Tribolium castaneum: one gene and its partner. The protein of the gene in region 1 interacts with the protein of each later gene in a pairwise test. Links are inferred from orthologs where the notes say so. Each region holds a gene or a part of one and is shown on either strand. Other genes may lie near its edges.

The links.
Region 2: the proteins of cytidine deaminase (region 1) and Polr2H interact in a two-hybrid assay, tested with the Caenorhabditis elegans proteins (2 studies listed by BioGRID). The link is inferred for Tribolium castaneum from reciprocal best matches to the Caenorhabditis elegans genes cdd-2 and rpb-8.

Annotation. Positions count from the first base shown.
Region 1 is NC_087399.1:3,313,272-3,316,280, forward strand, and holds cytidine deaminase, read right to left. Parts: upstream 1,475-3,009; 5' UTR 1,218-1,474; coding exon 1,166-1,217; intron 1,082-1,165; coding exon 681-1,081; 3' UTR 661-680; downstream 1-660. Other genes in the region: serine/threonine-protein kinase mTOR, read left to right, coding at 1-54.
Region 2 is NC_087396.1:10,332,581-10,337,036, forward strand, and holds the start of Polr2H (DNA-directed RNA polymerases I, II, and III subunit RPABC3), read right to left. Parts: upstream 2,977-4,456; 5' UTR 2,914-2,976; coding exon 2,841-2,913; intron 1-2,840. Other genes in the region: Epp (ecdysteroid-phosphate phosphatase), read left to right, coding at 3,144-3,256, 3,309-3,549, 3,596-3,791, 4,020-4,115. UniProt on the Caenorhabditis elegans protein: DNA-dependent RNA polymerase catalyzes the transcription of DNA into RNA using the four ribonucleoside triphosphates as substrates.

The DNA of each region.
Region 1 (3,009 bases):
ACAAGTAACGAGAACTTGTCACAGTGTTACATAGGCTGGTGCCCCTTTTGGTAACTCGACTGCTGCATCTAATACCGTGATAGTTTTTTGTTGTGTATCTTATTATTTTTTATATAATCTAGTTGAAATAAAGTAATTATTACAAGTGTGTGTTTAGGAGCGCAATAAACAACTAAGATTAATACAAACTTACCAAACGTGCGATTTGAGCGACTTTTTATCACTTAAAATTTTATCAAACTTTTTCAAATGACATAATTGACAAACTGAATTGCCAACCTGGCAACAAAAATACGTTTTCCACAAATAATTCGAAAAAACACAATTTTACCGTAAATAAAATAATATTTCGTGACCACTGATCAATTTTCGCACAAACTATTTTATTATTACAGGTTTTAAGGAACATTTTAGCAAACTTCAAAAAACTGTAGTTTTGCAACAAAAGACGATCAAACACGAAAAAACAAAAAAATTAGCATTTTTAGCGTTAAAAACGTGCAATTGTAATAAAAGTATATTGCAAGCTTACCTCAAATGAGTCTGGCCGTTTTTTTATCAAACGTAATCACTTTTTGTGATTAACAATTTTTCAAAATAACGCAATTGTTAGTCACCTGTCAGCAAACAAATTTTTGACAGCCGACAAATTTAAAAAGATTTGGTACATTTTAATAAATTTATTGATTAATTGTTGGTGACTGGAACTGGTGGGGCAAGAGTTGCCCCAAATCGGTCACAAAAACGTGCTCCAGGTCCGACTTCGAAATAAAAATTTTCATGTTGCCGTATTCGCTCATGAACTGCCTGCAGGCGCCACATGGGGTGGTGTAGACGTTTTCTTGGTTGCCTATCACAGCCACAGCTTTGAAACTTTGGAACCCTTCACTAATGGCCTTGGCTAGAGCCGTCCGTTCGGCACAAATCCCCACAGTGTAGGCCGAATTTTCAATATTACATCCCCCGAAAATAGCCCCCGTGGTGGTGGCAACTGCAGCCCCCACTTGAAACTTGGAGTAGGGACAGTACGCAAAAAGACGACTGGCGGTGGCTTGTCTTAAGAGAGCCTGCGTTTCAGAATCTGCAAATGTGGTTACATAACCTATTTTGCAGGTTTCAATTCAGGGCTTATTTTTGGGTTTTGGGGCTTCGGGGAGAGACGTACCCAAAGAAGCGAATTTTACGACGTTGGCACTGGTGGGGTCACTTGATGACATTATTGTTAAAATCGATTTTAAAGTAATTCTGACTAGGATTTAAAAGTGCACACTTGGAATGAGTTTGCATTACTTTGTTGTTCATTTTTATCGGCGAGAAATCTGATTTTTAGCCATTAAGACAGATAACAAAAACACTGCTGGGGAAAACCCGGAAAGTTTTAATCACATTTTATTGTTATTTGGCGAGTAATTGGCGTGACTTATGGCTCTGTTGCCCAAATTAAATCAAATAATTTAATTACGCACTGAATAATTATTAAAAATTTAAATAAGGCACCGCAATAAAAAAACTTGTGTGTTTTGTTCTAATGTCGAGTTTATGCGTTATTTACGCGCATTTAATAATAAATTAAAAATTAGATAACGTTATCAAAAAAAATAAAACAATTGAAAATCCATACGTAACTGAGTCAGCTGTTATAATCCGTTATATCTTGGCATAAATGTTTGTATCTTATCCGAATTTTAATGTTTTTTTGATATAGAATAAGTTCAAAGTTTGTTTTATGAATAATTAAAAAAATATGGTAAATGTGGTTGGAGAAAAAACTACTATGTATGCCGAAATAGCTCAGTTGGGAGAGCGTTAGACTGAAGATCTAAAGGTCCCCCGGTTCAATCCCGGGTTTCGGCAATCTTTTTTTTTCTTTAATAATAGCAACAGACCTTTACTAACCAATCCAACAAAAAATCATCAGAATTTTTGAAAAATAACAAAAATAGAAATAAAATAAAATTCTCTCTTTTGAATATTAGTTCAAATCACACTTTCATAAGATGGCGCTGCAAAATCTAACCTAAAAAATCAATTGACGCTTGTCTCCGACAAAAACGCTGTGTTTGTGACACGATATAGAGACAGACAGGTAAACCAACTCGCTATTATAATTGATTCTAACGCTGGAGCAAGTTGATAGATGGCAGCACGGTAGACTGGGACTGTCACAATTTCACAAATTTTCTTTGTTTTTTATAAAAAAATGATGCGAAATTAAAAAATGTTATCTCAGCACCCAAGTTAGTCATCTTGTAACAACTTCTGCTTTTTTCGCGCTGAAATAATAATATTTTCTGAATAGTTCTAAACTTCGGTTCGATGCATTTTCGGCCGCGAAAGACATCGAAACATTGAAGTCAGAATAAATGCTTTCCAGAAAAAAAAACTCCACTACCATTCGGTGCGGGCATCCTTCAGGTATTAATTGTTCTTCATAAATGTCATATTTTTAACAACGTGATGCGTGTATCTTTTTTCTTGTAAACATTGTGACAGTCCCAGTCTACGCTGGTGCCATCTGTCAGATAAAATAAAAGCTCCAACTTGCTCCACATTTTGGTTTGCGCCCGACAATGGAAAATAAGGGAAGTTGGTTCACCAGGACTATCTATACATGGTGGTTTGTGATAACAGAAAGTGATTACGAAATGGTTACAGGAAGTGGCAGAGGAGCTTCAAAGTTGGATCAGTGGGACGGAAAATGGACAAATGAGCGGGAGTTTGCAAGGACGGGAATAATTGAGGTTTATTTCAAATGAGAAAAAGGGCGGATTGAATGCATAAAAATGGCCAACATTGAGAAAAAGCTGACAGGGAGGGAAAGTGAATTGATTGATAAATCGAAAGATCGAACTCAATTGATAAATTATTAATCACTTATCCACGTGAAAAGTACGAGCTCTTACAACAGAATATTTGGACGAAATCTTGTTTTATTTAATAAAAAAATTGGTTTTATTCCAAATAGACTTTATTCAACTGTCAAAATTCATGGCTACTATGATTTTTTCA
Region 2 (4,456 bases), on another chromosome or scaffold:
TGAGTGATATAAACATATACATTTTTTTGAGTTGTTGTTTTTAAATGGAAATACCTTTAACCCCAAGAGCTAGAACGAACCACTATTTTAATGTTTTTGTTTAATAAAAACCACTCCTTTAAAAATACTGTCTTTAAATTTATAGAAAACACACAAAATGAAAGGTCAGATGTAATTTATAGTTTTTTATATTACTTTACATTTAATAGTAATTTGTAGACTTATAGAGAGAAAACGATTGACTGACTTATCTCATTATTCTGCTGAACAAATGTTCACAAATTTTCGGTGTTATAACAAAATTGTTTAATAACATCTAAATAAACCACTCTATTGCAAAAACAATTATTGCATTTGAAAGAGAGGGACTTTATAGCATACGTTTCTATATTTTTCTCAAAATGACAAAAATTGGACATATTTCGTTATAACATTGAACAGTGAAGACCCCATTTTTCACCTGTTAGAACCATCCAGTAAGCAGGCATGTATGACTAGATTTTTTAAACATAATTTAGGACCACTGGCGTTGTGCCACCAAATTTTCTGTTATTAATAACTAATTTGTGTTCTTTTCGTTACATTTAATCAAGTTACAAGTTGTTTTGTGGCTAATTATTAATCTTTTTCATGGATAACATCACAACATCTTATTAAATTTGAGTAAAATCAAAAATTGTCAACCCCCACTTTTTTTTCGCAGACCGACACTAAAAATAAATTGTGACCAAAAATTTATTCAAAAAGACCTATGCTTTCAATAAACACTAATAATAGTAATAATACAGAATAAAAACAAAAATTTTCACTTTTTGTTACAGTGTTATTACCTGTAATATTTTTAACTAATTTTTACTGGAACAACTGATTTTCTTTTTCTTTTTAACAATTTAATTTCAATATGATAGAAACAAAAATAAATCGCATTTTTATCATTTTGAAATGTGTAGGAGTACTTAATAAAATGTATTAACTTGGAAAATTCGAAGTGTAATATTTCTAAACGTCGGTTTAATTTTTTACTTTGTATTTCTTCTCTTTATTCATTTCAGTTCCTAATAACACTAGTTTACAACGTTTTTTGCCAATAGATGAAACCAATGCGTATCGGTAAGTCTAATACATTCACTTAATGATATTTTAAAGCAAATAAAATGTTTAACAATTAGTTCATCACAGAAACAACGGATGCTAAATTAGACACCAGAAACCAATTTTCAAAACTTTTAGTGAACATTAAAAAAAAACTAGATGTGATAGAAAAATGTAACATACAGGATGTTTCAAAATTGACAAATTCCGAGGTCAGAGCGTTGTAAAGAATCACTTCACTAGACTAAATGTAAAAACAAAATAAAGATTCGGAACTTCCCCACAAGGATACAGTGGTTTGAAGGTGCACGTCAGCTCACTTTGAATTGCGTTTTCTTCAAATGAAGGCTAAAAATTTTTCATTATTTTCATTTTTATTACTTATGATGTAGATGATTGTGGAAGATAATAATGTAAAACAATATTTCAAAAAATCAGCTTCATTTTAGAGTAAAAAATTTAAATTTTTGTAATTTTTCTTAAAAACAAAACGGCAAATTAAAAAAATTAAGATTTTAAAAACTCCAAAATAATATAAAAAAATAAATATAAATATAAAATAATAAAGCTAGTTTTTTGAGAAATCGTTCACAGTTATTATTCTTCACAATCATCGTCACCACAAATAAGAATAAACACTGAAACATATAGGCTGAATTAAAAAAAACGCAGTTCAAAGAGTAATCTTCAAACCAATGTATCTTTGTGAGGCAGCCCCGAATATTTTTTTGTTGGTAACATTTGAAGCCTTCTTTTTAATATCTGAATCCTAGATTTTAAACACTATTTTAAAACGCTTTTCCCATAGCAACGTGTTTTCATTTAAGTTCAAATATTCCAAAAAAAAAAATTTAATAACACTCATGCGAAAACGCTTTTAAAGTTCTCGAACTTTAAGTTTTTGTTTTTGCTCCCGTATTATTAATAACTCTTTTCGATGTTTGGACTACTAAAGCAATTCTCTACAGTGCTCAGAACTCGGAATTCGCCAATTTTGATACACCCTAAATGTTTTTTTAATACTGTGTTGCCAAATAGCCTGTATATTTTTGTTATCAGTGAGTAAGTAGAAAACAAAATTACCTAGTAGAAATGATTTCTTAGTAAAAGAAAAAAAATTGTAAACTAGTGTAATTAATATATCCATTTATTATCCCAGCTAGAATGCTCTAAACCCCTACGTGTTTCTTAATATGTATTTTATTGCTTTTTGTATTACAATTAATTCATGTAATTCATCAGTCTTCACAAATGATTCAAACAGCGAACAGTTTTAACAAAAATGGGGGCCGGCCCATGTCACCCATACACACCACCTACAAACCACACAAGTATTAAACAAAAATTAATACGTTAAAAAATTATTAGTATAAAAGTAAAATTTTGTAAGACTAATTTTGCATAATTCTATTAATATAAGTCCTTCAAGTAATTAATTCTAACCAAAAAAAATCTATTCTATCTGCCTGTTTTTATTGGTTTTATTCTTAATGCATTAAAAAAGACCAATCGATGCCACAACTAGGACACAGGTGGGGGGGTATAACCAATATTTAGAGTAGGACGGTATTATCGTATTAATAACCACATACACACGCTTTCCAAATTCAGAGGTAAATGAGACAAGATGTAAACTTTAAATACATTCAAAATTTAACACAATTTCGAGCAATTTTACGAAACGTTAAAACATAACCTCAAAAACGCCGGTCACACATCCAAACAAACAGACGATAAAAGCCACTTACCTCGATCAAATTTCTTTCCCTCAGGATCAATATCTTTCACGTTGAATATATCTTCAAACAGGACACCTGCCATCGTCGAATAACGTGTAAATAATAAAAAATTAACACACTTTAATACTTTCTTATGAAAATGGGCAAATTTTGACAGACATCAACACTTGACAGTGTTCCAACCAGTGCCGCCATCTGAAAGGCCAATTCCCCAAACAAAACCAAAACAAAAACGTCACTGTTTAAATGTCAAAGGTCCACTAGAAGTGTCAACACCAAACTTTAACCTAGTTGAAATTAATAATTTATTAAATGAAAATGGCAACACTACCCCCTAGGAGGAACCCCACACCTACAAAAATATCCAAACAGCACCTGACCCCGCTACAAATCCTCCTCCAGATGGGGTTCCCCAAACACAGAGCGTGAGTAAACAAAATGATAATAAACTTTCGGGTAACTTGAAATTACACACAGCGAAAAGGCCTTAGCTGCCACTGGTAACAGGGGCGTGCAGTTGGCCTCCGACTGGTTACTGGCCCACGTAAATGACCCATTGCTGGACGATAACTCTCCAAGGGAGTACATTTTATATGCGTGTCCCACGGGACCTTTCCTGGAACAGTTACAGACCTTCTGGGAGAAGTCGCACAGGGAATGCGCCTGGAACGGGGCCCACAATTTCACGCCGCACATTACGCTAGTTTCGTTTTTTAAGGTATTTCATTTGATAAATTTTGAATTCGTTTAATGATGTGTAACAGGCGCCTGATGAAGACGCCCTACATCTGGCGCAAAGCCTAAAGTCCGTAATGGAAAGGCAGGGCGCTATGTTGAACGAGCCCCTAAAACTAGAAACGTATACTTCTCCAAATTTTATGGGGTTTTTTGTGGCGGAGGAGCACGCTGATTATTTAAAAAGGATTGCCATGCAATATGTTAAAGAAGTTTCAAATGCTAGTAAGTCGATTTTTCTATAAACCAGTAGATGGGCATGTTTGTAACTTTGTTGGTTTTTGATTACCAGAAAAATATTTAGATAATGATTGGTCCTTATTATTACTAATCATGTTTTCTCAACATTGTAAATAAATTGATAACGACACATGCTTGCATGGTAATCAAATTACTTGTAGTTGTTCTTAATACTAGCATGACAATCTGGCTAAAGGTGGTGGTTATTTGCAGTTATTAGTGACACATACGAACATTTCGATGCTCTAACAGCCTGTTTTCCGTGGTGTACCACAACAACTGCTCGTTGCATTCCTCGGGGAAGTAGATGTAAGCAAATTGTAGTTTAGTGTAGTTTCCTCTAGATAATTATCATTTTTTTGTATTTATTTTCTATTAAAAGTTTGAATTTTTACTTTGCTTTTCCTTTTGTTACTAACATTTATTTATCCTTTTACTGAAGTTGCTGGTTTACTAACAGTTTTATATTCTCTTACCTATCATTATCCTAACATGTGAATTAGTTACCTTTTGTCTTTTGTTTTTGAAGTGTCTGAAAGAGAAATACAGCCACCATTAGTGGTTTGAGTCTTTATACAAAGTAAAAGTCATCTGCAGGAAAGTTCACCTTTTATTGCACATTTGATAAAATGTGACAGTAGTTAATGACC